Linked DNA regions of Elephas maximus indicus. The protein of the gene in region 1 interacts with the protein of each later gene in a biochemical or structural test. Links are inferred from orthologs where the notes say so. Each region holds a gene or a part of one and is shown in the gene's direction. Other genes may lie near its edges. The genes, in order: NCOA6, THRA, RXRA and TGS1.

Region 1 (7,460 bases):
TGCTAGGGCTGGGGTAGTGGAAGAAGAGAGGTCTGACGGTTAAGGGTATGAGGTTTCTTTTTGAGGTGATGAAAATATGCTCTGAAATTGACTATGGTGGTGGTTGCTTATATCTGTGACTATACTAAAACCATTTGAATTGTGTACTTTAAATGGGTGAATTGTATACTTTAAATGTGTATTATATATATCAATAAAGCTGCTTTAAAAAATACACAGAATTTGGCATTATCAGCTAAAACCCTGGTGGGGTAGTGGTTAAAATGCTTGGCCGCTAACCAAAAGGTCGGCTGTTTGAACCCACCAGTTGTTTCATGGGAGAAAGTTGTGGCGGTCTGCTTTTGTAATGATTACAGTCTAGGAAAACCTATGGGGCAGGTCTACCCTGTCCTATAGGATCACTATGAGTTGGAATCCACTTAATGGCAATGGGTATGGCAGCTACAGCTGAATACAAGCCAATTCTATGACCCCAGTCCTAGGTATATAACCAATAGAACATTGTACATATGTTTACCCAAAGATATGTACAAGAATGTTCAAAAAAAAAAAAAAGAATGTTCATAATAGTACTATTAAAAATAGCCCTAAAGGAAAAACCTAAATGCCCACCAGTGGTAGAACGGATAAATTATAGGATATTCAAACAGTGAAATGCTATGCAGCAATGAAAATAACACACTACAACTACATGCAAAAATATAGATGAATCTCGAAAACATAAAATTGAGCAAAGGAGCCAAAAAGAGTGCATTCTGTATGAATCCATTTATATATATGTGTGTGTGTATATATATATATATATATACACACACACATATATATATATGTATATATATATACACACACACATATATAAAGTTTAAAACTTGGCAAACCTAATCTATGGATTCAGGATGCTGCTCTCAGGGTGGTAATGAGGGGAAGGGAAACTATGGGATTTCTGGGGGCCTGGTAATGGCTCAGTGGTTAAGAGTTCAGCTGCTAATGAAAGGGTCTGCAGTTCCAGTTCACCAGCCACTCCTTGGAAACCCTGTGGGATAGTTCTAATCTGTCCTGTACGGTTGCTATGAGTTGGAATTGATAGCAATGCGTTTGGTTTGGCTTTTGGTAATGTTCTGTTTCTTGATTTAGATGCTGGTTGCACAGGTTTGTTCAATTTGTGAAAATTCATCAGCTTTACACATGCTCATACGAACTAAGCCTTTATGCAAAGTACAAAGAGTGTACATTATTTCCCTTTGAAAATTATGAGCGTATTTTGTAATAACAAGGCACTTACTGCCATCTGCTGGTAAATTAACACAACAGATTTACAAACCTACAATGTCTATAATGGGAATAGCGCCCACTTAGATGTGGTTTCCTCTTGCAGGGCACAATTTCCCGAATTGCATATGGTAACCCTGTTTGGTTTTGTTGTGATGAGCCCTGCAGAGAGTAGAATGTTGGTGCGTTCTGGGTTGGTTTGTCCTTTTTTTTTTCCCCATGTTCGTTGTTACTTGTTCTTCTGAAAAACATCATTCACGTAGTCACTATCAATTTTATCACTTCAAAGCTTAATGTACATATGAAAATAGAAGTTCAATAAATGCTCATTTGAATAAATTGCTCATATCAAAGAACAATGGATTTGCTTTTTATTTACCCAAGTCTGATTCCGGAACAAGAAGCTGGGCATCTTAGGACTACTTTTTGCTCAAAACACTCTGTGAAACAGCCTAAAAATGTATTCAGAGGTTTGTGTTCATCTGCTGCATGTTGAGGCCATCATCTGTGCTAGACACCCTTCTAGACATTCTTATGTAACAATTCATTTAGTTCTCCTGAGGACCTTATGAGATAGGAGCCCTTATTATCTGCATCTTACAGATAACACAACTAAGGCACAAAAAAGGTAAGTGATATTACAAGTGATGGTTATTCAAAAAGAGCTTCCTTGGGGGAACTTACAGTCTATTTGGGACACAAAACAAAATAAATGAAACAAAGAAAATGCTTTGGACCCTGTCAAACAAAAAAAAAAACCAAACCTGTTGCCGTTGAGTCGATTCCAACTCATAGTGACCCTAAAGGGCAGAGTAGAACTGACCCTGTTAGGCAAGTCATTTATCTCCTTGTGCTCTCATTTTCTCATCTGTAAAACAAGGAGATTGGATTTGCTCAATATCACATAGCTAATAAATGGCAGAGCTAGAACCTGAACTTGGGCATTCTGGCTTCAGAGTCCAAGCTTGTAATCATTACGCACACTGTCTGCCAGTTCATGGTCTGTTCTTGTTCCTTTGTTGCCTTCCTGTGGGGCTGTGGACCCTGTTTATGCTGCTATTTTCACTTCCAGGATGTGTAGGCAACCAAGTTGGCACCTCTGTCCTCAACTCCTTGTTTCCTTGCTGATCCCGGGAAAACCAATGACCCTTGGCTTAAGGAAATGGATAAGAAAGTGAAAAGTAAGGACAGTGGCTCAGGTTGTGGAATTTTTCAGAGCTTTCTTACCTTCAAAAGCTTTTGTGGGGCTCAGAGGTCTGTGGATGATGTCATTTCAGCCTCTGGGCTGGCTGCTGGCAGGACCCCTGTCTAAATAGGATCAAGTGACCAGAGTTTCTCGTTCAGTCTTTCAGATTAACTAATCAGTCAAGCAACACATTAATTGTATCATTATCCAAATAGTCACTCTTTAGCTCTGTCAGATTTCCAGGCTAACACAAAACAGTACGTACTATACAGTTCTGTTTATGTGAAGTTCAAGAACTGTCAAAGTTAATTTACGGTGCTAGAAGTCAGAGTAGTGGTTACCTTTGGGGAATCAGGTATTGACTGGGAGGGGACGTTCTGGAAGTGACAGAAGGGAACCCTTTGGGCTGTTAGAGATGTTCTATAACTTGATCTGAGAGGTGTTAACACAGGAACATAGCTAAAAATTTATTAGGTATAAAGTTAAGATTTTTGCATTTTGCTGCATATAAATTATACCTCAATTTTTCAAAAGTTTCAAAAAAATAATGTCCAGCCTCTTGCAAAGTCCTTCGGTGTTAATTTTATAGCTGCACTGTTGTTCTCTTTGCTTTTCTCTGTCCTTTTGGACTCAGCACCTAGTATAGTGCACAGGATCCATACATACAGCAAATATTGATTGAGCGCCTACTCTGTGCCAGGCATTGTGTTACATGCTGAGGGAACAGCGGTGAACAAGGGAGTCCACATTCTAGTGGCAATAAACCACCTAGTCTGTTCTATCAAGGATAAGTGCATGCTGCTAAGGGGGCCTGTCTGGGGGGGATGGCCAGGGAAGGCGTTCTTGGGGTAGTGACATTTGAGTTTGGATCTGAAGGCTAAGGGGGGCAGAGCATTTCAGGCAGAGAATGAGCATGTGCAAGGGTGCTGAGGAGGGAGGGATTACAATGTGTAAAGAATTGGGAAGAAGACCATTGTGGTTGCAGCCCAGAGATGGAAGAGGGCCTGAGATGCACCTGGAGAGGTGGGGAAGACAACAGTAAGACATTGATTTGGTCTTTATCTCAAGAGCAACATGAAGCTGTCAAATAGTTTCAAATAGGGGACTAACATAATCAGATTTCTGACTTAGAAATGTTACTCTGACAGCAGAGTGGAGAATAGATTGGAGAGGGTGCAGGGAGCATGTGAAAAGGCTGTAAGTGGGTACTACACTAGTCCGAGCACATAGTGTGTGCTCAATAAATACCTGTGAATGAAAGGGCTCCCGACTTCTTTTCTAAGATGAGACCAGGACACCTATAAGCAGTTTACAATCCATCTGCTCATCTTCTATCTTCTGTGATGCTCATAAGAGACTCTTTACTTCCATTTTACAGATGAAGAAACTGAGGTTCAGAGAGGCAAAAAAAATCACACAGCTATCAAGAGGGAAAGGCAGATCTGAATTCAGAGCTGTATGACATCAAGTCCAGTGCTGGGGGGTCCTCCCCACATTTGAGAGGGGAGGGGGCCACACGCACTTGTTCACTAAAGGGATATATTTATTGAGCACCTACAGAGCTTGCTAGTGTGGTGGTTATGAGAAAAAGTAGAGAGGAGCTTACAGACAAATAATGATAAAGGCTGTTATCTTCGTTACGCTCCAGGCCCTGTGCCAAGTGCTTTCCATGCTTTTCCCATTTCCTCTTGTCAATCGCAACTACTATCCCCGTACTTCAGATGAGGAAACTGAGGCATGGAGAGGTGAGTTACCCAAGGACACCCAGCCAGAGCGCTCCCGCTGTGTTGTGCAGTGGTTAGAAGTCGGGGCAGGAGCCACTGGTGAGATCACGGAGCAGAGAAACTGACACAAATCCATGCCATCCCAGCACTAAATGCTCTGCACCCACGTGAGCGGGCGCGCGCCCCTCGCGCTCCCGGGGACGTTTGGTCACGTGGACAGGGCCCCGCCCCTCTGGTCCGCCCCGCCCCCTCCCGCGCTCCCTCCCTCCCTCCCCCTCCCTCACCGGCCCGGTCCGGCCCATCCCCCTCCCCGCCGGCTCCCTGAGGCCCTGGCGGGTCGGGCTGCGGGCGGCCGGGAGCAGACGGCCGGACAGACGGGCGCACGCGAGGACGGACGGACGGACGCACGGAGGGCTGCGGGCACGCACGGCCCGGGCCGGCTCTCCGAGGCCCGCCCGGGAGGGCCGGAGCGGCGCTCAGGTGAGGCGACGGCGACGCGGGCCCGTAAGGGGTGGGCCCGCCGGGCGTCCGCGATCTCGGCCCGGCTGGCTCCGCGGGAAGGAAGTGCCGCTCGGGCCCGGCGCGGGAAAATGGCGCCGGCCGACCGTGGAGCGCGGCCCGAGTACGGGCCGGGCCCGGAGCCGCCCCGCCCGCCGGGCTGGTGTCCCCGTCGCCATGTTGGGGAGCGGGCCCCAGGCCTGCGGGCGGGGGCGCCGACGGGAGCGGGGGCTTGGCCGGGGGTGGGGGGGTTGTGGGTCGCCGGGTCTGGAGCCCCGAGGGAGTGCAGGGCCGGGCCGGGGTCTGCACGGCGTGGCGCTCGGGGCCCAGGGAACTGGCGGGAGCCGGACGTGGGGTCGTGGCCGGGGTCGCGAAGAAGGGACACTGGGTCCGAATGGAACCGTGGCCGGAGTCTACTGAGTTAGGTGGGGGCAGGACCTGAAGCCGAGTTGGGCCATGGGCGGTGTTCAGGACCCCAGTACAGGTTCGACCCGGGGGACGTGGGGGCCTAGCTCAAGCTGTCAAGGCTAGGACAGTTCTCCAGGTGGGTTTGATTAGAAACGGGGGACCTTCGGGTTCAGACGGAGGTATTGGATTGGGCAGCCCTCGGAGTCCTGGCGCTGAATTGCAAGTTTTTATAACCCCCAAGGGACTGAAGACTTATGTACCCCAGGGTTCTTCACCCTTCATTGGCGAGAGCACCAGAAAAAGGGAAGGGTTTGATGAGGAAGAGAGAAGAAGGGGCTGAGGTTTGAGTGAAGGAGCTGGCCAGCAAAAGGGGTGCCGAGTGGAGCTGTTGGCAAGGAGAGAGCAAGCCTCCATCAATTTAGGGAGTTTGTCTGTGTCTTTAAAAGGAGGAACCAGGCTGTTTGGGGGCGGTGACCCAAGGTGTCTTCCCAGGAAAGGGACAGCCCACTGCTTAAAAGCAGGGTCACCTAGGGAGGTCGTCGGAAACGCATTTATCGAAGCCAGTAAGCTTGGTAAAAAGGAGTGAATCCTGTAATGGTTTCAGATTATGTAGTGATTTTAGGTGAGACATAGAAAGGTAAAGTTGATTTCCCAAGATCTTAGAAGCAGTGGCAGAGGGGATTCCAGAACTCAGGTTTGCTGCCTTCTCATTCATCACGCTGCCTTAAAAGCATGTGGTAGCTGGGAGAAAAATGTTAAGTAAAGAATGGCAGTATGTATCAGAAAACTATTAATGAATTGGTTTTATAATGCGTTGTCAGTGCAGAGGGTGGGGGGGGAATACCAAAAAGTATAGGTAACCAGCTATTTGTTATTAGCTCACTTCCATTTATGCAAAAAAGTTATCTTCAAGACCCTTTTGACCTCTAACTTCTTATAATTTTTAGAAATGATCCTTCTCTTTTAGTGGTTGGAGCTGACTCGACAGCAGTGGGTTTGGTTTTATACCGTAAATGGACACAAAAAGCCTAAAAAGATAACAGTAAACAATGGTAGAGACCCAGAATCTCTGTCATGATCAAATGTTAGTCGAAGTTTGATCATAATAGAAAGGAGTTCAAAGTTCAGATGGGCTGTGGTAGAGTTCTCAGGGAAACTATGCAAATTGGTCATGATGTGGTAGGCCCAGAGCCCCCATAAAATTAAAAAGATTAAGAGAGCATTTATAACAGTAAAATTTTCATTATTGTATGTATATACAGCAACGCAGTTCATTTATTCTGGGTCTTTTTAATACAGGGGTGTCATGGGCCCCTTAGCATCTGATGAAGCCTATGGACTCCTCTCAGAATAATATTTTTAATTGTATAAAATAAAATAATATAGGATTACAGAGGAAACCAATTATATTGAAATAGTTATTAAAATATTACAAACTGTGATATAGTAATGTATATACTTTAGCAGCACGTTAAAAAGATCTAGTCAAAGAACTAAATGATGTCCGGCTGTTTAACTCATGACTGCCCTGACAGGGAACATAACAGAGAACCCCTGAGGGAACGGGAGAGCGGTGGGATGCGGACCCCGAATTCTCATAAAAAGACCAGACTTAGTGGTCTGACTGAGACTAGAAGGACCCTGGTGGTCATGGCCCCCAGACCTTCTGTTGGCCCAGGACAGGAACCATTCCCGAAGCCAACTCTTCAGACATGGATTGGACTGGACAACGGGTTGGAGAGGGATGCTGGTGAGGAGTGAGCTTCTTGGATCAGGACACTTGAGACTCTGTTGGCGTCTCCTGCTTGGAGGGGAGATGAGAGGGTAGAGGGGGATAGAAGCTGGTGAAATAGACACGAAAAGAGAGAGTGGAGGGAGAGAGCGGGTTGTCTCATTAGGGGGAGCGTAATTGGGAGTATGTAGCAAGGTGTACATAAGTTTTTATGTGAGAGACTGACTTGGTTTGTAAACTTTCACTTAAAGCACAATAAAAATTACAAAAAAAAATTAAACACAAAAAGATCTAGTGAAGGGTCTGATTATTTTAATTTCAAAGAAATGAGTATAAGTAATATTTTTAGATATCTATAACTACTGAAATATATAAAGGTATCTGTGATGTTTGTATTGACAGAGTCATAGGTGCTGCTAATAGTACAATGATTTTTTGTCTACACTTATGTTTGAAGAAAATGGTAACTTCAGTTGGAGTTCAGTGAAAATAACACAAGTTCACGGACTCCCTGAATTCTCTCTATGAGCTCTTGTCTCTAAACCTCACGTTAAGAAGCCTACTATGATTCCCACTACCAGGCATATCTTCCATTCAACAGTTATTTATTGTGTGCCAAGACATCTGGTGTGTCAAGCACAGT
Region 2 (7,802 bases), on another chromosome or scaffold:
ATAAAGATTTACAGCCTTGGAAACCCTATGGGTCAGTTCTGTTCTGTCTCTATGAGTTGGAATTGACTTGATGGTAATGGGTTTTGGTAGCTCTGGGCAAGAGTCATTTTCACTTTCTCTGCTTTGCCCTTCTGGCTCTCTAGTCTGTAAATATCAGAAGCCAGTCTTTCTCTACACCACCTCCCCAATATCTTCCTAGGGACCCTCTTCAGCTCTCTGACTAGATTCCACAAGGACTAGACTCCTTGATAATCATCCAGAGGGTGAGAGAAGAGATGCTGATATCCCCTTAGGGTATACAAGGAAATTCTCCCCTCAGTCCTGCCCAAAAATCCCACCTATTTACTCCACTTGCTTTTCTATCTATTTCTTCTGATTCAGCACAGATAGGGGCTGAGCTCCCCTGTCTGCTTTCCTAGCTCTGAGCCCCAATCTCTTCATCCTTTGGCTAGATTGGCTGGGGAAGGGGTCTGGCTGGAGAAGACAGGCAGATGGAAGCCAGTCAGGCAGTGACATGGCAACATTTGAAGCAGTGGCTAAAAAAGGAACTAGGCCAGAGTGGGTGATTGGGGTGGGTAAAGAGGTTGTGAGGAACAGAGTTTTGGGTACCCAAAGGGAAGGGTACACTTCTTACCTAGGCTAAGAAGGTGTATAAGGAAAAGTGGCAAGAGTCCAAATCTAAAAGCCCAGAAAGACTGAAATACTTGGCAAGCATACAAGACACAGAGGGTTTCAACTTCTTTCATTTCCATAGGGAAACTGAGTCATTACCCTCTCCTAACTGGGAGATCTTTCTTTGGAAGCTTGCCTGGGTCCCTCCACTATGGGGACTTAACTGGCAGCAGGTGGATGGGGAAAGAAAGAATGTCCATCCCACACACTCATACACAGCTGGCTCCAAACCAGTTCCCTTCCCCCTCCAGTTCCCAAATCAAAATCCCTGCTTTCTGTCTGGGAGAGGAGATGATGGGGGAGAGGCCTACAGGTGACCACACCTCAGGGACAGCTCATGGGTCCCCCACTGTTCCCAGTCTCTGTCTTCTCATTGCCCCCACAAGAGGTCCAGAAAGAGACTGGCTGAACAATGAAAAGCAGAATTTGAACCAACCTTTGGAATAGCTTCCTTTCTGACACCCTGGAGGATGCCTTTAGGAACAGAAGAGAAGTGCTAGAGTGGAAGAAAAGTACTGTGATCCTGAGCCCTGGACAGTGGCAGGGAAAGGAGGCCTGCCTGCTATTTCCTTTACACTAGGGCCTGAGAGCCACTCTGCCTTACATACTGTATACTCTGCCTGCCTCGACACAGACCCTCCCATTCACCTGCTGTGGGAAGGACGCAGGATGGTCAGCCCCAGGCTTGGATGGTAAAGCAGTCTGCCCCTCAGCTCCTTTCTTTTTTGGTAAAGGCAGTGATGAGGATGCTGTAAGGGAAAGTGAAACCAGAAGCTGGGAAAATCTGAGGGATCCAATACCTGACACATTAAATGGTGAAAATAATGTGTGTCAAATAAAATACAGTCTGGGGAAGGTGTCAGCTTCTTTTTCCACTTTTTACCTCAGTTACCAAAAGCAAGGCTCAGCCAGGCCTGAGTCCCTTCCCTAGCCCCCTCTTTTGCCACCCATAACCAGTCACCTGACGGGACAAAGGAGATTGATAGAGGTGAATTGAGTGGCCACTTTCCTCTTTTCTAAGAGCTTCGCTGTAACCAAAAGGTCAGCAGTTCAAATCCATCAGCTGCTCCTCAGGTCCTGTGGGGCAGTTCTACTCTGTCCTATGGGGTCACGATGAGTTGGAATTGACTAGATGGGAATGGGGGGGGAGGTTTGGTTTTTGGCTTACTCTTTTCAGAGTAATTACTCGTTAACTTCCCACAGTCTGCTCCTCCTCCCTGCCTCCCCCCCAGCTTTTCTTTCCTCCATTTTCCCTGTCTCTTCTTGACTGGGAGATCTCTAAGGGGAAGAGACACCTGGGGTTTAGGTTCTACGGTAGTGTTTCAGTTTCTTCTGCTGTCTTTCCAGTGTACCCCAATAAGTGGGGCTGTGTCTACAGAGCCAAGGGGTATCTCCACTGTATACCTTATCACTTGCTGATATCACCCAGAGCCTAAGAGGTTGATATGAGGGACAAGAATCACCAAGGCTGGGACCACAGAGCTGGTTCCAAGGCAGGCTGGCAAAGGCTTGCTCCCAAAAAAACTGCTTGGGGGTGTGCGAGGCTTCTTGACAGGGGTAGAGGATGCTGTGTAAGATCATGGCTGCTAGGTTTTTGGAGGAAGCTGTTCAGAAAGATATCTGGAGTCTCTGGTCCCTAGGAACGGAACCCTCCAGAAATCTTAGGGTGCTTCCTAGCAACAGTCTGGGAGAAAGGGGGGAGGGAAGGAAGGAGAAAGAGAGAGGGAGGGACTGAGCATGGCTTTTCCGATGGGAGCCAGAGAACAGGCTGTTCCTGCTGCCTCCTTGGCAACGGAAATCTAAGAGAGAGCAGGCTGCCAGACAAATCCCCTTGGAGGGTCCTTATCCATCCTCACTTGTGACCCACCCTCCCTCTCTCCCTACAGACTCAGGGCTTGATATGAAGCAGAGGTGGGGGGATGGAAGGGGACAGTGCCAACACAGCCCAGGTGGGGGTTTTGTAGCCAGGAGGAATGGAAGCCAGGGATGAACTGAATCCAAGAAGAGCTGGAAGCTTCAAGAAACAGGGGTGGATAGGGTAAGTGGGGTGGGAAGAGGGATGGCCCAAAACAGGGGCAAGGGCTGTAAGGCCAGGCCTGGGCTAGATCCTGGCACCTGGCAAGATGTCTGCTGCTTTGGAGCCAGTATGCCCTTCACTTTGCCCTTGCCCAGGTCCGTCACCAGCTCATATTGGGAACCAAGAGAGGGAGAGAGATAAGAAGATGGAAAGGGGAAACTCTTCTCTTTGAGTTCAAGGTGCCTCATTCTCCCTCTGGGCCTCATCACCCCTGCCCCAATCTAGATTACTCTGGGCCTGTCTATCCCCTCCTGGTTCTGCCAGGCTCACTGCAGACTACCAGTGTATCTCATGGGCCAAATCCTCAGGCAGCCCAGTCTTATGGGGCGATTTCCATAGTGGGTGGGACACACACCCTGAGTGCTGCTCATTGCAGACTTATTCTCCAGGATTTCAGCCAAAGCTGATCACTGAGGTGGCAGTGACTCGCAGACAGCCACCCTCAGTGCACCTCGCACTGCACACTGCACGCTGCAGCCTCCAGCCCCACACTGCAGCTGTCACGTGTCCACTGTGAGCCCAGACTGAACCTGTATGTTCACTCACTCTGTGTTGTCTCTGCATACCACAGCTGCCACTGCATGCACACTGCAGGCTCCTGTCATGCATTGCACAGCCCTCATCACTGCCATCCACTCTGCACCCCATGGCTGCCACCCCAGCCGCCTTTCTCGTTGCCATGGCCCCAGGGGCCCTGAGAAAGGCACCTTCCTCTCCCCCATGAATTGTGAACCCCAGTCCCCCTTGTAAGAGAAGTGGCTCTGACAGAGCTGAGGATGCAGGTGGCTGAGACTAAGATGATTAAGGGCAGCCTGACTTGCTGAGCAACAGAACCCCACCAGAGCCAGTTAGAATCCCACACTCAGAAAGTGATTCTGCCCAGTACAAACTGGGCTATGAACACAAAGGCTCCTCCTGACACACACACACACACACCTCCACAAGAGCAGGCTGTGAAGATGGAGCCCCACCCTAGGAGATGTGGGAAGGCTGTGGCCCCCGCTGGTAAAACTGGGCTAATGACAGCAGGGGAACTGGTGGGGCGGGGGGGTGGGGTGGGGAGTGGGTGCTAGGGTAATTAGAGCTCTGCCTGGTGCTGGGAGATCCTGAGATGAAAGGGGCTCTGGCGTCACTGGGATGGTTTTATGTCCATGAATGCAGGTGTGTATGTGTGTGTGCATGGGGGGTGGGGTTAGCACAATGGAGACCTCCCTTTTGGGAAAGGGGGTCCGTTTTTATACAGCCCACCCTCCTCCTTAGAATGGCCCTGGTACCTTTGGGTTTTAGTGGGGGCAAACATGGGAGAAAATGCCATCCCTGTCAAACTGGGAGTTGAGGGGGTATGGCAAGTTTGGCCCCTCCCCGAGCTCAGCGGGGTCAGATTGTTGGGGAAAAGGCTGGTGACAGTGAGATATAAAGAGCGTATTTTAGAAAAGGGTGACATTTCAAAGGGGAGGCTGCTGATCAGTAACGTTAGAAATGAGAGGGGAGGGAGGTAATGGGGAATGAGCTGATAACCCCTAAAAGGATGACTGAAGTTAAAAGAACCTCAGGGGTCACCTGCCCAACCCTCTCATTTGAGGTTGAAAAAGCTGAGCCCTGAGAGCGGTGGTGATTTGCTCAAGGTCACACAGTGAGGTACTGGCAGAGAAGGGACCCGAACTCTGAAATGAACTCGAAACCTCCAGGCGTTTGGTATTTAGGCTTTTCCCCCCTATTTAGGAGGTGCAGGAGGCCCGTTGGCACTCTCTCCCAGGCCCCCCCCCGCCCCCATGGTGCAAACCGAAAACCCCGAACTGCCCAAGCAAAGGCTATTTTTTAAAAGACATCTTTTCCAAAATCTGTCAGCAAGTACCACTCCTGCAGGAGCCGCCTGAGCAGGGAGGGCGCATCTGAGAGGGCGGGGGCCGAGGCGGCCGAGGGGCGGCCGGGCGCTGGCGGGGGTCCCGGGGCGCGGCGGGGGGCGGGAGGCGGGGGCCCGCGGCGGCGCGGCGGCCTGCAGGGAGCAGCCGCGAGCCGGCCGGGCGCGCCGAGCCCGAGCCCCAGCCGGAGCGGGGCGGGGGAGGGAGGAGCCAGAGCGGCCGCCGCCTCTGCTGGAGGAGCCGCGGGGCCGCCACACTCGCCCCCCGCCCCCCCCCCGCGCTCACTCGCACTCACACCCGGGCGCAGGAGGCGGGCGGCCGGGCCCCACTGGCCCCCCATGGACGCCCCCGGCTCGGGGCGCTGAGACCTCCTGGTCGCTGCCCAGCCCGGTCCAGCGCGCCACGCCGAGGTAAGGGGGAGGGAGCGAGGGGGCATTAATATGCAAATGTATCGCGATTGATTATGCAAAGCTGCGGGGCTCTAAGGCTAGCTCCTAGGCGGTCTGGGGGCGCCCAGGGGATCCGGTTGCCAGCCACCGCCTTTCCCGGCGCCCCAGTTACCCTGTCATAGCCCGGGCGCTTGCAACTTACGCCCTGGGGAATGGAGGTGTTGCTGGGAGGTCGGTGGGCCCCGGGGTTCGCCGGTGGAGATGGCGTCCGGGCCTCCCCCTCTAGGGCCCGCCCGGCCTCTGTCCGGCCAGTCTGCTGCGCATTCCCGGGTCGGGCCGGGCTGCTGGCCGGCCGGAGCTCCCCCGCCCGCCGCGCCGCTGTTTGTTTACGGTGCGCCGGAGGCCTGCCCCCCCCAGCCCCCACCCCTAGCCTCCGAGGCCGAGTGGCCATTGCAAAGCTGCCTCCGGCTGCGGAGGGCAGTGGGAGTGCGGTGGGGGGGCGGGGGGTGGCCTTGCACGGGCGCGGGGAGAGGGAAGTTCCCCCTCCCACTCCACCCGCCTCTCCAATTGAGCATGGTTCTCTGGTTGCAACACTCCTAATTGCAAAAACGCGACTCGGGGGGGAAAGTGTGTGTGGGGGGTTTGTGGTCGAGGGTCCCTAGGAGATTAGAAGCGTGGCAGGTTGGGATGGCTGGGGAAGAGAGGGAGCAAAGGACTTGTGTGTATTCTCCCTCCTTGCTTTCTGCTCCTTGCAATGGGTCTCTGATGCCCCTTCTCTGTCTGGAGCCTCCCTTGTCCATGTGGAAGAAGAGGCCTGCGCGGGGGGGGGGGGGGGCAGATGATAGGGACAATGGAGAGAGCCACCTGCTTCAGGGGTGGGGTGGGGGCACAGAAGAAAAGCCAATGCTGGCTGGAGGGGGAGGGGATGAAGGGGGCTGTTGTCCTAGATGAGGGGGGCAGCGAATGTGACATGCAGACACAGAAATATGCCCACACAGACAGCCACATGCACACCCAGGGACACCCAGGCAGATTCAAGGACAGGAGCTGCTGGACACACCCACACGGGGACAAGAGAAGGGGCAGGCTGCCGCTGCACTGTGGAGCTCAGAGGGGTAGGACACACCCACGGGAGACCAAGAGCAGGGAGAGCGACCCATGAACATACCCACGCACAGGGTAACACAGAGATACTGTCACACTCAGGGGCAAGGAGGAGTCACTGTCACAAGCATGCATGCACACAGAGCGTTGCACACAGCTGCACAATTACAAAAGACCCCGTCACTCACAGGCACACATGTGCTCACATAACCCCAGTCACACAGACATCATCTCCCGCCGTGACAGCCGCTGTCACAGAAATGCAGTTACACATCAACACATGTACACAACTTAGCAACAAGTATTTTCCTGGATTCTTACTGTGTGGCTCTGGGGTTCTGTATACAGCAAAACTCCTGCTCCTAAGAAAATTAAATTCACCTTTGTGAAAAGACTTTCTTGCATCATGGTACAAGGAGGCAGGCATTCAGGATAACACGTCTTCAGTCTCTATTGATTGTCTCCTACCACCCTCCTAGCTCCTTGAGACCTGGGGGAATCACTTCAACAGCTCTGGTTACCACCCAGAGCCTAGCACAAGAAGTCCTGTAAATATGTGTTAATTGACTGTGGGAACTGCAGACACAGGTGCACTCATTTGCACAGTCCCACCGGCTCAGGTGCAGACCCAATTCACAAGCCCAGGCCCACACAGTCTCAGGTCCACCCTGACAGTCGTGTCCAGACAACCCCAGATGCACACACTGCAGCCCATGCAGTCAGACACACACCTGGATACCCACAAAATCACAGGCTTTTTTCTCCTGAAACTTCCTTCTATGTCTTCTTTCCTTCTTCCTCTAGGATCAGCCACTGAGTTTTAAGGGAATGGACTCTTTTTTTTTTTTGGAGGGACTGAGAAACAAGAGCAAAGAGAGTAGGGGCAGGGAGGTTCCAGAGGGCCCAGTCTTGGGTCTGAAGCAGTGCCCAGTGACTTCTAGCAGCTGGGATTGTCCTGAGTGCTGGGGGAGGGGGTGTCTTGGGGAGAGCTGGCTCCTAGGGAGTGGTCCTCATCCCCACCCTAAAAGCAAACTGGGGGATCTAGCTGCCCCTGCTGTGGATTATATGCCTGGGCCTTTCCTGGGGACGCACCCTAGCCCCCAGCTGAGTTCCTGCCTCCCACCATGAGTTGGGCCCCTTTTCCCACCTCGGCCCTTCTGTCCAAACTTGGAAGCTTTCCTTAGGAGGCCGTATGCTGTTGAGTGTCTGGGTGAGTGATGTGTATTTTTGACTTGGAATTTGTAACTCTCTCTCTCTTTCTGTTGCTCAGTCTTGCTGCGCCTGATTCTCCCTCTCTCTCTGTCTTTCTCTGCCAGTCTGGAACACTCTCTCACCCTGTCACTACCCCATCCTTGTCTCTGTTTCTGCCACAGCCTCCTCTCTCAGAGCTGGGAACTGGCGGTGATGTTCTTCATACTTTTCCAGTTGTTAATACTCAAACTCCGCCCCTGCGCCCCGCCTGCCCTGCCTCTGGGGTCAAGTAGAGGTTGGGGTGGGGGGTGGGGGGCTCAGCTGGCTGCTCAGGACATCCTGCGCTTCCTTAATGCTACAGCTGTGGCTGGCCAGTTTGGGGGGGCTGGGAATGGGAAGGAGGGAGGTCAGCTGCTGCCCATGCTGACCCCTCAGCTGGGGGGCTCAGCCAGGGGACACCAGCTCTGTGGAAGCCCTTGGTTTGTAGCCTGCAGCTAGCTAGGTCCC
Region 3 (7,220 bases), on another chromosome or scaffold:
GGTGGTGTGTCTTGGTGTTTATCGTTTCTAAGCAAAAATGGAATACAGAGTTTCCGTTTCTGTCAAGGTTGGGCTGTCCTGTGAGGAGGGGGGATTGCCCCCACATTCCCTGCCTGTTTTTTGGGGGGAAGAAGGAGGCCTTTCCCCGGGGCTGGGCAGCTAGAGGAGAGGCTGCGGGTGCTGGATGCTGGGGACACTGGCTCTGCCACGCTTCTGCTCTCCGGGCAGCACTGGACCACTAGGAGGGCATTCTGAGGGGCTGGGGGATTCTGGGCCCCCCACAGGGTGTGTGTGGGGTTGGCCTTGTGCCTTTACCTCCACGTGTGCCAGCGTCTGTCTCGTTCATCTGTGCTGCTCCCGTTGTCCATTACCTGTGTCCCCACTAGTGTTGTGACACCAGCCCCCCTGCTGCCCGCTGTGGCCAAAGGGGCCAGACACAGGCTCTGCTCATCCCTGACAGCTGCCTCCCTCCTCTCTTCCTTCCTCCTCCTCTCCTGGAGTGCAGTCTGTAGTCAAGCAGCCACTGCTGACTGGCTTCATGTCTGTGAGCCCCCTGTTCCCTTTCTGTACAAGAGGGTGATGCCTACAACATGGAGTTGTTGAGAGAACTGAGGGGGTCTATTGTGAAGCGCCCAGCACAGGGCCTGGCGTGCCGTGGATATCAGAGAACCCCCCCCAGCCTGGTTGCCATTTGCTGGTGGGGCTGGGGCTCAGGGCATCTGCCTTCTTCCCTCCCTTGAGGCAGGGGCTTGGAGGTGGCTCTTCGAAGCTGAGAGGAACGAGGGGCCGGGCTGCTCAGCAGCCTGGTGCGGACCGTGTGGCCGAGGGAGACAGGACAGGTGCATTAGAGGAGGTGGCCTCTCTGGCGTTTGTGCACCCTGCTGCATCCCAGGCAGGCCCCTGCTGCTGGTCTTGAGCCCTGAGCTGGGCAGGCGCACAGGCCCTGGGCAGTCCCAGAGGGTACGTGTGGGGTGGCCTTGTGTGAGGTCTACCTGCAGCAGTGCATGAATCAGGGCTCGGTTCCCTGAACATCCCTGTAGGAGTGTGTCTGTGTATCAGTCCACCCACCTGTGTGGGCCTTGGGCCCTTAGGGTGGCCAAGGTGGTCACTCTGGGCGGGTCTTGGTGGGCACAGCACACACTGGCTTGGTTGCAGCCCTGATCAGACTAGCCCATCGATGTGGGGGGGGGGCGGTGCCCAGGGCATTGGTTTTCCCAGGGGGCATCCAGTTGACACTCCCTCTGAGCTCAGCACTTTCCTGGCGCCCTCCTCCCTGGGGTGGTGGGTGGGGTCAGCTGTCTTCCCATTTGCGCAGTGATGGGCAAGGCCTCAGGCTTTGGATGACTTGCTCAGCCCCGGGCTGATTCAGGATGGAGTTGGGGTCGGGACCGCAGCTTCGTGTGGTAGATTTTGGAGGGAGTGAGGAGCACCCCAATTCTTGTAGAGATTTTCATTTCTCCTGCCGGGAGCCTGCGGCCGCCTGCTGGTCTCGGGAGCCACGCCACTGCGTGTGGTGAGCAGGTTTCACCCCGAACTGTGTTTGGGGATTAGGCGGGAGCCCGGCAGGAAGCTGGCAGCCACAGAGCTGTGGGCAAGGCTGGGAGGCGGTCAAGAGCACGTTGAGGCCCGAGGCCACCCCGGCTGCTTCGGGAAGGGGTCTGTGCTCACTGTTGTCACAGGGAGGGGGCGTGTTCTCGACGGCATAGGCAGTGTGGGGCCCCGTAGGCGCTGCTGTGCTGTGGTTTTGCGCAGGGACCCGGCAGTTTAAGTCTCTGGAATATGGGGCTGGGGATTGAGGTTGCCTGCCCCTGTGGGGGACCCTTGGCCTGGAGGGGAATGTGGGTGCTTACTGGTTTGTTTGCGCAGAGCCAGGCTCTGGGTGGCCCACGGAGCTGCCCTCTGGGTGGATGCTGCCTAGTCAGAGCACCTGGTGCTGAGGGGCAGGGGCCCAGTGGGGGCTGTGGCCACCACAGGCCTGGTCAGTGGCTCTGGGTCACACGCCAGGGGGTGGGGAGCTCCGGTGGCTCTGGCAGGCAGCCTGGTCTTGGGGTTTGCTGAGGGAGGGGCGGCGACTCTTCATCCTCAGAGTGGCCCCAGCCCGGCCAGTGGTGGTCCTGCCCCATGGCAGCTCAGTCCCGCCTATGGCTGCAGAGGACCCTGGAGTGGCGCTGGGTGGGCTGGGCGGTCCTGGCTGTAACTTTGTTTCATTTCGTCCAGTCGGCTTGTCCTCCGTCCTGTGCGGAAAGAGAGGCCCAGCCCTATCTTGGGGTGGGGGCACCAGGAGCCCCTGCCTTTACTCCTGGCCAGGGAGGGTGGTGATGAGCTCTGAGAGCCTCTGCCGCCGTCTTCCAGTCAGTGAAGACACACAGCTATCCCCCGCTCCTCCCAGCGATATGGCTTCTGGGCTCTAGTTCCCGCCCTGAGGCCCACGATCCGCCTAGCCCTCCCACCCCCAGCTGGCGGCTCCCTTTAGGAGCACATGCACGAGGTAAGCCCCTCCTCAGTTCTCTCCTGTCCCTGGGGGCTCCTGAGGATGGTGTCCTGGCCTGTCTCCTTCACAGCACCTGCCCATTTTACAGGTGAGGAGACTGAGGCCCGAGACAGGCAGACACTGGCCTGAGGTCCTCAGGGTGTCCGTTCAGAGCAGAGGCCTGAGGCCCACTGGCTGACCTCCCTCCTGGGTGAAGCTCTGTCTTTCCGGAGGCCTCCCATGGGGAGGGGAAGTGGGCCTGGATTGAGAGTCCCAGCCTCCAGTTCAGCAGAGCCCACAGGCTGGCCAATGGCTTCTGCTTTGGTGACCAGAGAGGGTGCAGCAGGCTTTGTCTGTGCTCCAGGGCCATTTTCGGCTGCGGGGGCTCCAGCGCAGGGCCTGGTGTGAACTCAAGTGGTCTCTTGGGCCTTTCGAGGACTCCAGCCCTGTGGGGGCTGTGCAGCTGCTTTCTCAGTGCCCCCCACCCCCAAGGGCATTGCCTGGGCTCCCAGGTACCCTCTCCTGCTGCCCAGCGTCCTGAGCGGTCTGGCATTGCTGGCGCTGTCTGCTGTCAAGCCTGGGCAGGTGCGTGTTCAGAGGGCGGCCTGCCTGCCGGTATGGACGGGGGCGTCGTGCCGGCCCCATGAGTCATGCTTAGCCCAGGGAGGGGGTGGGTGGGGCGGGCTCCAGGCCGGCGTGCCGAGGCCTGTGTGTGGCCTGCCTGGGGCCTGGCTTGGGAACCTGGGGGCTGTACATGGGCACAGGGCGGCAGCTGGGGGCTGCCTGCTCTCCCCTGTGAAACAGAGGGCTGGATTGAGGGTTTCATGTCCTCAAGATCAGGTCTCTCCCTGCCCTTCGGTAAGCCGGGAGGAGGGTCTCAGGTTCCTGTCTGTGAGGTGGGGTGGGCAGGCTGGGTGGACTGGGGGTAGGAGCCCCTTGTACAGGCCCTACACCACTCAGAGCTCGCCCAGGCAGCCTGTGTCCCGGGGTCAGTTTAGAATGGCCAGGAGAGTTCAGCCAGGAGGCTGAGGGTGGGACGCAGATGGAGTGGTCAGAAGCTCGGCACCCAGGTTCCTTTTCTGGCAAGGGGAGTGCCTGAGGACCAGATAGGAGAGGGATTGTCCAGGGCCGATGGCCAGTGACCTGCCACTGTGGAGTATCTGCCACCCCTGCCCCGGCCTTGTTCTGTCCAAACTCCTGCTCCTGGGCAGCGTGGGAAAAGGAAACTGGCTGCCAGCCAGCTCCCCCAGGATCCGAGCACCTTCGGCCAAACCCTCACTCCAAGGCTGGGAAGGTCTGAGGCCAGAAGAGGGCCCTCTGGGGCTGCAGAGCTGCCAGATCAGGATCATGGAGCTTTGAGCCATAGGGGTCTCCCATGTGGCCAGTAGCCTCCACCTAGTGTGAGGTCTGCAAAGTGGAGGTTCCCCTTATCAGAGACAGCAGAGCCCTGATCTCAGGAGGGCCACCTGGAGGACTCGGGGGCTCCTTTTCTTGAGGACGGAGAGAGGTAGCCCGGGGCTCCCAAGGAGGTGGGCCAGCTGTGGCGGGGCTTAGAGGGTTCAGAGGCCTTGAAGTGAGACCAGGGGTGGGGCCAGTCTTGGAGCCCACAGTTGGGTGGGGGACGCAGACCCACAGAGGTGTATTGAGGGGAAGGGTGGGGGGGGTACTTGCCCACTGACACAAGTCTAAGGGGGTGGCAGATGAGATGTGGAATGATATTCTGAGGCGCCACAAATAGGAAAGGTGCCCGCCTGAGACAGCTGGACAAGGGGGGGAAGGTGTTTCCGCTATTAACGTCTGCTCATCTTGAATTGGCAACTTAAGAGATTGCCCCCGGGCACTTGTTACCCTCACCAGGCCCCTGCAGACCTGGCGCCTGCCACAGAGCTAGGGCTGGATGCGCTGAGAGTAGACTGCCTGCCAGCGGCAGGGAAGCCTTCCTCGAGGAAGCGTCCCTGGCGGGAGCCGAGAATAACCAAGGGAAGGACATGTTCGTGCTTTTTCTGAGGCTAGGACTTCGTCCGGCAGGGGCAGATGGCTACTCCCACACGCCGACCTCAGCTGATGTGCAGAACGGAGGGGTTGGCCCGGGCAGGCACCTGATGATGAGCGGGCAAGCAGCCAGTGGAGATCCCTGGCGGATTCAGAGGTTCTTCCGGCTGACAGGGCCTCCTGGCCTTGCCCATCTTTAGGGATTTTTTCCTGGTCAGCAGCTTCGAGGGGTGACACCGTGAATTAGTGGGGTACCCGGGTGTCCTCACCAGCCCAGCTACTGAGAAGCAGGCAGCTTCCTCACCTATTCTGGGTCCGGACACAGAGGTGCCCAGTGGTGGTTGGGCTGCGGCTATGCCTGGCACCTTTTTGTGCTCTGGGGTGGGGGTGACGAAAACGTGTCTGGGGCTTGCCCTTCGTCGTACGGTACATCCGTGTAGTGGTCAGTGGGGCTCTCCTGAGGTAGCCCCGGGCCTGTGGTCTCTCTGCTGAGGCTCCCAGCCCCCCTGCCGAGATAGGGCCAGAGGGATGGGGCAGCTGGCCAAGCTGAGGTGTGGAGGGGAACTGTGAGCTGGGCCTCATTTGCCTGCCCCCGCCCGTGCTGGGCCTACTCGTGCTGCTGGCTGAGGGTGTGAGGAAGGAAGCTGGGGGTGCTGTGTGTGTTTGCTGACTGGGCCCGGAGGGCTCCAGCCAGGGCGAGGCCCGGGGGAGGGCAGTGGGGGCTGCTGGGGGCCCGTAGGGCCTCCCAGGTCCAGGAGCCTGTGCTGAGGAGTCCAGAACAGTGCTGTGGCAGGGTCCAGGCGGCAGGAGAGAGGCCTGGCCTGCAGGCTGAGAGGAAAGGCAGGAGCCCTGGGAGTTCTCCCCAGGGCTGCCATCTTGGATGCTGCTGCCCTGGCGAGTGGACCCGACACAGGGGGCTGGATACCAGGAGCCCCTTGGGCTTGGGTGGGGCAGCAGGTCTGCGGACTCCGGGTCCTGGGGTAAGTGAAGGGTGCTTTCAGCTCACTGGTCTAGCTCTGTCCAGCCGAATGTGGGGAAACCAAGGCCTGGAGAGGGGCAGCTGATATAAGCTGGTGCACGTTTACCAGCTGGCCCTGGGGGTGGGGCTTCTCTGTGGTGTTGGCCGATTTCCGTGGTGGGAAGTCCCGTCACGGCCAATTTCAAGCCACCGACCTGACTCCCCTGAGTGTGGAGTTGCTGGGATACGTGCCTGAGAGTGGGCAGCTGGGATCCCGTGGGGAATGTGTCTCTGCCCATCCTCAGAGAGGCACATGCGTGCTTGTCACGATTCTGCACTGGGCCTGGGCTCTGTGCCTGCCACATTCTTGGCTCTTGCTGAATGTTGGGAGCACTCTGGTTGGGGGCCAGGAGGCATTAGGCCACGCCCAGGTGCAGGCTCAGACCCTCAGGGCTTGGTGTGACCTGCAGACAGGGCCTGTGTTTGTGCAGAGGTGGGGATGGGTGGGTGGGGGCTGGGAAGAGGAAGACGGCAATTGTGGAGGGTTGTTTTGTGGGGCCTGAGGCTGGTCCACACGGGTCTGAGGGGGTGGGTGGGCTGGGTGCCAGGCCCCTGGTCAGGACGAGCCCCATTCCCCCAGGGCTGGGTCGGCTGAAGAAGCTGCACAGTCCCCGGCCCGCCTGCTCCCTGTGAGGCTGAGGTTAAGCCTTGGGAGCCCTGAGGTCTTCTCTTCCCTGACCCCTGAGGACTCAGGGGTTTGTTTCCAGGTGATGTGGCTGGTTGGGCACGAATGAACCTATTGGGTGAGGTGAGCACCAAAAGGACTCCACAGGCACCTCCCCACTTCTGCCCCACCCAGGAGCACAGGCCCTCAGGCAGTTGAGGAGGATCTAGGGGTCATGGATGACCACCAGCCACAGCTGAGTTGGCTTGGCTTGCCTCTTGGGAATAAAGCTTTTGACTTGGGCTGGGCAAGGAGGAAGTAGGCTGGGCCCTGATCCTTGATCCAGGCAGGACTTGACCACACCCTCCTACCTGGGTGAGCTGGCCCAGGTGTGGTCCTGGGCCCTGAACCAGCCGTGGACGCAGCAGGGGAGGTCAAGGAGGAAATGGGGTCTGTCTGGCCAAGGTCTCGCCGAAATCGGCTTGGGGGGTTGTGTCATTGTTATGAAATACCACGTCCAGGGGACACAGAATCCAGGCCAAACGAAGATGCAGAAAAGGGCACACTCTTGCCCACCAGAACCGAAGCCTGTACCCGTTCACTCCGCAGTGTAACCCCTTGTCATTCCTGAACCCCACTCTGGGCAAGCTGAGCGTAGGTGCCTGCTCCATGTGGTGGGTGTGGGTTCCCAGCGGACTATGGTGAGCCAGGAGCTGTGCAGGTCTGCAGGGAACACGAGGGGGCCTAGGACAGCCGGGTGGGGAGAGGCCTGGGACTTGGGGATCTAGTGAGTTCCAGTGGTGTGTGCCTTTATAGGGGTGGGGGGCAACTGCCGCGGGTCCCACAGCCACTGGGGTTTCAGGTGTCAAGAGCAGTGTGAGCAGATGGTGGGTGCGTGCATGGCGCGGCCTGGATGGAGTGACCAGGGGCCTGGAGGGAGACCAAGGCCACGTGGCTGCTGAGTCCCAGGGGCTGTCGGCTTGGGCGTGAGGCTCTGTGCTCCTTCTCTGTAAGTTTTCTGGGAGCATGGACCCCTCCCAGTCCGCCCTGCTCCTCAAGCCCTGGGGCACTGGGGCAGCGCCAGCCGTGCCTCGTGAGACTGACAGCCACAGCTGAGTGCAGCCTGGGGGCTGGGT
Region 4 (7,967 bases), on another chromosome or scaffold:
CCATTCTTGGAGCCACTGTGTCCATCCATCTCATTAAGAGTCTTCCTCCTTTCGTTTACCCTCAGCTTTATCAAGCATGATGTCCTTCTCCAGGGACTAGTTCCTCTTGATAACGTGTCCAAAGTACTTCAGACGAAGTCTCACTACCCTCGCTTCTAAGGAGCATTCTGGCTGTACTTCTTCCAAGACAGATTTGTTTGTTCTTCTGGCTGTTCATGGTATGCTCAATATTGCTGACCAACACCATAATTCAAATGCATCAATTCTTCTTTGGTCTTCCTTATTCACTGTCCAGCTTTCTCATCCATATGAGACAAGTGAAAATACCAATGGCTTGGGTCAGGTGCACCTTAAGGCCTCAAAGTGACATCTTTCTTTTTAACACTTTGAAGAGGTCTTTTGCAGCAAATTTGCACAGTGCAATACATTGTTTGATTTCTTGACTGCTGCTTCCATGGGCACTGATTGTGGATCCAAGTAAAATGAAATCCTTGACAGCTTCAATCTTTTCTCCATTTATCATGACGCTGCTCATTGGTTCACTTGTCAGGATTTCTGTTTTCTTTAGGTTGAGGTGTAATCCATATTAAAGACTGTAGTCTTTGATCTTCATCAGTAACTGCTTCAAGTCCTCTTCACTTTCAGCAAGCAAGCTTGTATCATCTGCATGTCACAGGTTGTTAAAGGGTTTTCCTACAATCCTGATATCGTGTTCTTCTTCATATACTCCAGTGTCTCAGATTATGCGCTCAGCATACAGACTGATTAAGTATGGTGGAAGGATACAACACTGACAAACACCTTTCTTGATTTTAAATCACGCAGTAGTCCCTTGTTCTGCTCGAACAACTGCTTCTTGGTCTATGTATGGATTCTGCATGAGCACAATTAACTGTTCCAGAATTCCAATTCTGTGTGACATTATCCATGACTATGCCCTTGCATAGTCAATAAAACACAGGTAAACATCTTTCTCTTATTCTCTGCTCTCAGCCAAAATCCATCTGACATCAGCAATGACATCCCTCATTCCATGTTTTCTTCTGAATGCATCACGAATTCCAGGCAGTTCCCTGTCAATATACTGCTGCACCCGTTTCTGAATTATCTTCAGCATAATTTGACTTGCATGTGATATTAACGATATTGCTCAACAATTTCTGCGTTCCTTTGGATAACCTTTCTTTGCGATGGGCACGAAAATGGATCTCTTCCAGTCAGTGGGCTGACCCGTAATTGAAAATTACCGGTAATTGTAATGCAAAAGTTGGAAACAAAGAGGGAGGATCCGTAGTTGGAAAGTATGGCCTTGGTGACAGAAACAACTCCACAGAGAATTTTGCAAGACTAACGACTCATTCACTGGAATACCTTTTTTCAACAACAAAACCGGCAACTATACACGTAGACTTTGCTGGATGGAATACGCAGGAATCAAACTGACTGCATGTGTGGAAAGAGACGATGGATAAGCTCAGCATCATCAGTCAGAACAAGGTCAGGGGCTGACTACAGAACGGACCATCAATTGCTCATATGCTAGTTCAAGCTAAAGAAAATTAAAACAAGTCCACAAAAGCCAAAGTGCAACCTTGTGTATATCCCACCTGCATTTAGAGACCATCTCAATGAAGATTTACTGAGCCACTGCGTAACATACTATGTATCAAGCATTTTCCAAACACAGCAGTAAATAAAAATCCATGACCTCACGCGGCTCACGTTCTAGAAGGGGAAGACCGACAATAAACAAAGAAACGAGTAAATATATACTACGTGGAAAGACAGAAACTATGGGGAAAGATAAACAGCAGGGGGCATGTCCTTGACCAGGCAAGAAAGGAAATGTTACAGTGTACACAAAAGCGGGTGGTCCAAAGAAGACCTACATCACTGGGTCATTCATTCATTCATTCAACATATTTACTGAGCAAACACTTTATGCCAGACACTATTCTAGGCACTGGGATATTTGGTAAGCAAAACAGGCTGTTAAGTTTAAAAATATATACATACTTGGAATAATGCCTGGCGTGCAGTGAGTAGGCACTCAACAAATAAATGCTGGCTAGTATATGAACTGTGCTCATCCAAAATTTTTGACAAAAATGTGGACCAGGACAGTGTCCTAAAACTTGCCACTGGAGAGCTTTGAGAGGAGTTTGAATATCATGCTTTTGAGCTGATAAAATAATTTTCTTTGAATAATTTGAGAAAGGGGCTTTACAACTCAATGAGCGCAACTTCTGAATTTTGCAGAAAACAAAATTTAAACACAGAAAGCCAAGCAGACCTGCCAAAGTCACAACACTAGTTAAATGAGGACCCAAATTTAAATCCAGTTCTCCTAATTCCTAGCCTAGTTTCCATCACTCGTTCTTTAATTTTTCTTAACAGAAAGGTTGAAAATATGAAGACTGTAATTTCTGTCTTCTACTTCTGCCCAGCCTTTCTGCCCTCCAATTTATCACAAGCTGTACTTGACTCCTTACCACCGCCTTTAAGTCAATAAAAACTGTAATTGTTAAAAGACGTGTTCTGAGAGATATATATTTTAGTTACCAAAATTCCAGGTTATTATTACCACATACACAAAAGAGAAAAAAAAAACCTACAGTAAAACACAGTCCTATAATCACCTGGGAAGTATCATTTTTCCTTTTTGGAATTCATGCAACTTTAATTTGTAAGAAAAGGATGACAAGCTGAAATATCAATAACTGATATTGATGGTGAAGTACATTTTCTATAATTAACCTTACAGGAATTTTTTAAAAAACTAATTTTTGTTTTGTTTTCTATGAAACTTTAAGGGAATGTATCTACTTTTAAACACCCAATACCAGTACTATTACCACTATGGATGGTAGCAGATATTCATTCCTTACTTTTTGTGTAACAGCCACATTGCGAACACTCTGAAAACGTCAATCTAAAAAAATACTCAGTGAACTACAAATTAATTTTTCCTTTTCTGTATGTTTAAAATGGTTTAACACGGGTCTAGTCCTCAGTTTTAGCAAATAAGCATCCTACCATGAGGAACAGTGAAGTTTCCCTAATACTTCAGTCAAGATACCTGGCAAACCCAACCCATTTACCATATAAAATCCACTGCTGTTAGTGGGCATCTTCTTAAAATGCCTTTTAGATTTCCAGCTTCAAACTCTAGATCTGATATGAATTGCCTTTTGAGTAGAATCCCCTTTAACTTCTAGTTAAAATCTTCTATTTGATTACTATCCTATCATTATTATTTTACTAACCTAGCCACTCATCAAAAAACACACACAAAAAAGTTGCACATTTATATAGGTGTATTTTAGAAGCCCTGGTAACACAATAGTAAAGTGCTTGGCTGCTTACCAAAAAGGTCAGCTGCTCGAATCCATCAATGACTCAAGCAGGAGAAAAGACCCGGAGATCTGATCTGCTCCCATAAACATTAACAACAACAAATCAAACCCGTTGCCCTTAAGTTGATCCTGACTCACCTCAATCCTACAGGACAGAGTACAACTGCCCCATAGGGTTCCCAAGGAACAGCTGGTGGATTCCAGCTCTTATTCCACCAGCTTTTAGGAAACCCTATGGGGCAGCTGTACTCTGTTCTATATGGTTGCTCTGAGTCAGATGCAACTCAAAGGCATACAACATCTGTAACTTTGCAGCATTCTTACACTCCTGAGTCACCGAGGTCGGCCTATCTCTGACATCAAAGCAGAAGTAAGAGCCATGGGAATAAACATTTTATTTTAAATTTAATCTATTTCCACCCATATTTTGTCCGCACTAGTAAATGCGGCCAAAATATTGGTGATCGTTCTAAACGTCTGGATTTTATTTCAGTTTTTTATAGTTCTAAAGAAATACCAATGCTCGTAGTCATTAACAGTACAACGCACCAACACCACCAGGCCCGGACTTGCTTCCTGGAGGAAGCTGCCTGGGCAGTCAGCGACCACCACACACCTTCTTCAAGCCCAGCAGCGCTGCTCCGGTCTCCTCTACCCTACTTACGTGCCCATCTACCATTCTTTTGGGATTAGTAGCGGCTGGACCTGCTTTACTGGGCGCAAACCGCCGCGACGAGCCCCTCCCAGCCGCTGGGCGGGAGAACACTGGCAGCCTGCTTCCCTAAGGACTCACAGCCTTGGAAACCCTGTGGGGCAGTTCTCCTCTGTCCATACGGTCACTCGGGGTGGGAATGGACTGGATGGCAACGAGTTTCTGGTGCGAAGTTTGACATCCATTGTCTCACTCAGCCCTTTCAACAGCCCTATGACACAGGTATAAGAGAAATCATGCCCGTTTTACAGATTATCAACACGAGGCTCAGGCAGGTGAAGTCGCTTGCCCAGGTGCACAGCCACCACAGGGTCATAACCCGGGTCCCAAGGATGCAAACGCTCCCAGCCACTTCCTAAGACCCATCTCTGAACTCTCGTTATCCTCACATAATTTCCTTCAGCTTTTACACAGAGCAGGCTCGAAAAGGGTCTGCTGGGCAAGCCCAGAGGCCTCCAGCCAGGGAGGAGAAGCCTCTCCTTATCCCCTAGGTTTCGACGAGACACGCCAAACTGGAAGGTTCTGAGCGCGCGGGAAGATGCGGGGCGAGAGGAGAGCGAGCCCAGGTAGGACCTCCCGCCTGGGTCACGGAGGAGCCGGAGCTGCGGGGGCCGCGCGCGCGGCCTTCCCCGCTCCCCGCCGGGCCAGACGGCACGCGCCCGGACACCGGGCGGGGAGCAGCGCGGAAAGGCCCAGGCAGAGCTGCGACGCACCTCGGGCGGGTGGGAGCGAGCGGCGGCGAGAGCTTTCTGATGTTCCCACCGCTGAATGAAGCTCGGATACTTGAGGTGCGGGCACATCTGTGAGAAGGAAGCCAATGGCCGCCGCTGCCCGGGCCGCGTTTCCTGGTACACCCCCGCGGCCCCGCCCCTTCCCGTGCCGCCCCTGCCACTTCCGTCGGCGGCCCGGCTGCTACCTTGCGCGAGCGGCCCGGGCGCGTTCCTAACCACGGGTCTGCAGGGCAGGCGAGGCGGGGGAGGCTTTCTGCGCGTCCCTGGTAACCGAGCGGAGCCCCGGCCCGTGCCATGTGTGACAGGGCTGCCTCTGAGGAGATAAAATGTGCTGCGAAAAGTGGAGCCGCGTGGCCGAAATGTATCTCTTCCCTGAAGACCTGGAGGAGGATTATAGGATCCGCTGTCTCTGCTCCAGGGCGTTTGTGGAGTAAGTAAGAGCGGGTTTCTCCTTATTGCTAGTACGACCATTTCTGAGAAATGTAGCTGTTGCAAACGTGGTTCTCATTGATCCCTGAAACCACGGCCAGAGTATTTGACGCTCGGGCAAGATAATGTTTAAGAAAAAGGAAAAACGGGTCCCCAGGCGTGATACCAAGTGGTCACTTTCTGCCGTTATTAGTACGTGAAGGACTAAACCTACTTCGAAAGCTCTTAGGAAAAAATGTGCTAGCTAACGTGTGTCGTTTCATGTCTATAAACTGAGAACCAAAAACCCAGTGCCGTCGAGTCCATTCCGACTCCCAGCGACCCTATAGGACAGGGTAGAACTGACTTCTAGAGTTTCCAAGGAGCGCCTCGCGGATTCGAACTGCGACCTCTTGGGTAACAGCCGTAGCATTTAGCCACTACGCCACCAGGGTTTCCTTATAAACTGAGGACACATTTAAATTTTGGGGGAAAGTGGAATACAAAATGTGGTCTCTTTAGTGGATGTGATGTCACAAGGTATAGCTTTAAAGTTGGATACTTGTTTTGGTCAACATCTTTTTAAAAATGTTAAGACACATTAAAGCTGAAATGTACGTAATTAGAACTAATGATTATATAAGATAAAATGTTTAGCTATATTTGCATCAGTTTTTGAGATATCTTTATCTTTGGAAAATGTTTCTATCAGGCAAAAATTGTCCAGCATGGAAGATAGCTAGTGTATGGGAAAAAGCTAACTAGAGAATTGGATTCTAGGAATGATTTTCTCAATGTTATATCTGTGACTTAAATTACTTAAACCTTTATTCATTTCTAAAACATGCATATTTGCCCTAATTATCTCACATGCTTATTGAGAGAATCAAATCCTGTGGGAATGAATTTTGTGTAATAGCCTTTTGATATGTTGAATGTAGTAAATTTAAATTGGAAGAGATTATTTACATCAATACGGAATTTTAAAATATTTTCCTATGCCTGAAGTATAATCACAGTACTGACAGTGCCCTACTTCCCTGTCGCTGAAATATTTGTTTTAACTATCAGTCATGTTTTGTGAAGTAATCTGAAAATTAGCCCAAAAAGAAACTAAACTTTTTGTTAAACTTGATGTAAAAAGTAGGTCTTTTCAAAACAAAACCTGTTTTTGTATTCATGCATTCATTAGATGAATGCTTATTGTGTTAGCAACCCTGACAGGCCCTGGGATAACAGAACAGCCCGTCCCTACACCCATTTTGTTGACTTTCTCAGAAAGGAGATCAATATTTAGACAACTATTTAAATAATCACTCAGTTAATTATTTTATAAGTGGTATGGGAGGATGCGGAAACCCTGGTGGTGTAGTGGTTAAGTGCTACAGCTGCTAATCAAAGGGTCAGCAGTTCGAATCCACCAGGCGCTCCTTGGAAACGCTGTGGGGCAGTTCTACTCTGTCCTATAGGGTCGCTATGAGTCAGAATAGACTCGATGGCACTGGGTTTGGTTTGGTTTCATGCTATAACAACCTAGTCTTTATCTAAGGGTCACAGAGGTTTCTTTGAGGAAGTATCATTTGAATAGAGGTCTAAAGTTTGAGTGGAAATAAACTGAGGAGGCACCTCAGAAGACAGGCCTCATGAACTTCAGGGGTCGGGGTGGGGTGGAAGTCAGCCTTTGAAAATGCTGCAGAGCCCGGTTCTACTCGGACACACATGGGGTTGCCATGAGCCAGGGTCAGCTTAGGACAACTAGTAACTAATAATTATGTGTGGGAGGAAACGTGTCCAAAGGAGAAACTCTATTTAAGCCCCTTGGAGGATCAAAAGAAAGCCAGCAAAACTGAAATACAGTGACTGGGAAGGAAAGGTAGGAGATAGGATTGGTGAGGTAGGCAGGATCAAAACATGCAGGACTCTGTAGACTATAGGAAGACTTTAAGGTAGGGAGTGACATGATCACATTTGCACTTTGAAAAGATTACTCTGGTAGCAGAATGGAGAATGTTTTCAAGGAAAACCTTTTAAGACCATCGTCCAGGCAAGAGATTATGATGGCTTGGATTAGGATCAATGGCAGTGGAAATAGAGACTGGGGAAAAGATAGGTGAGAAATGGTCGGGGTTGGCAAATTGGATTGGATGGGGCAGTGAAGGATGGGAAGGAGGAGACTGGGTCGAGTATAACTACCTGGTTTCTGGCTTATACTGTTGCTTGTCACTGAGCCAGAGACCCCTGGGGATCATGATTTTTATGTTGGGACGGCACTGAGTAGGTCATGAGTTTGATTTTGTACGTACTGATCTTGAGATACCTTGGAGTCCCTGGGTGGTACATATGTTAATGCACCCAAATGGTTAGAGGTTCAGGTCCACCTGGGGGTGCCTGGGAAGAAAGACCAGCAATCTGCTTCCAAAAAATCAGCCATTAAAAACTCTGGAGTGCATTTCTACTCTGACACACATGGGGTTGCCATGAGTTGGAATCCACTCAGTGGCAACTCATTTATGAGATATCCAAGAGTAGATGTTATAGGTAGTTGGATACATCGGTTTAGAGCTCTAGAGACAGCTGAGCTTGTCATAAGAGCTTAAGCGATCCATTTTTAAATAGTACTTGAAACCATCAATTTAGTGCCAGTGAGAGAGGGGGAAGGGTGGAATCCATCCTTGAGGAAGAGAAGAGGTGCATTAACTGGGGACAGAGAGAGATAGAAGGGAAGCCCAGGGCATACACTGTCATAACGTGTTTCAAGGA

The links.
Region 2: the proteins of NCOA6 (region 1) and THRA form a complex in vitro, tested with the Homo sapiens proteins (2 studies listed by BioGRID). The link is inferred for Elephas maximus indicus from reciprocal best matches to the Homo sapiens genes NCOA6 and THRA.
Region 3: the proteins of NCOA6 (region 1) and RXRA form a complex in vitro, tested with the Homo sapiens proteins (5 studies listed by BioGRID). The link is inferred for Elephas maximus indicus from reciprocal best matches to the Homo sapiens genes NCOA6 and RXRA.
Region 4: the proteins of NCOA6 (region 1) and TGS1 form a complex in vitro, tested with the Homo sapiens proteins (2 studies listed by BioGRID). The link is inferred for Elephas maximus indicus from reciprocal best matches to the Homo sapiens genes NCOA6 and TGS1.

What each region holds. Positions count from the first base shown.
Region 1 is NC_064843.1:34,635,867-34,643,326, forward strand, and holds the start of NCOA6 (nuclear receptor coactivator 6), read left to right. Parts: upstream 1-4,456; 5' UTR 4,457-4,659; intron 4,660-7,460. UniProt on the Homo sapiens protein: Nuclear receptor coactivator that directly binds nuclear receptors and stimulates the transcriptional activities in a hormone-dependent fashion. Coactivates expression in an agonist- and AF2-dependent manner.
Region 2 is NC_064837.1:47,293,143-47,300,944, forward strand, and holds the start of THRA (thyroid hormone receptor alpha), read left to right. Parts: upstream 1-4,800; 5' UTR 4,801-5,021; intron 5,022-5,202; exon of another isoform or gene 5,203-5,368; intron 5,369-7,802. Other genes in the region: MED24 (mediator of RNA polymerase II transcription subunit 24), read right to left, coding at 1,321-1,421.
Region 3 is NC_064827.1:4,206,816-4,214,035, reverse strand, and holds the start of RXRA (retinoic acid receptor RXR-alpha), read left to right. Parts: upstream 1-4,215; 5' UTR 4,216-5,342; coding exon 5,343-5,442; intron 5,443-7,220. UniProt on the Homo sapiens protein: Receptor for retinoic acid that acts as a transcription factor.
Region 4 is NC_064837.1:77,267,142-77,275,108, reverse strand, and holds the start of TGS1 (trimethylguanosine synthase), read left to right. Parts: upstream 1-4,959; 5' UTR 4,960-5,125; coding exon 5,126-5,229; intron 5,230-7,967. UniProt on the Homo sapiens protein: Catalyzes the 2 serial methylation steps for the conversion of the 7-monomethylguanosine (m(7)G) caps of snRNAs and snoRNAs to a 2,2,7-trimethylguanosine (m(2,2,7)G) cap structure.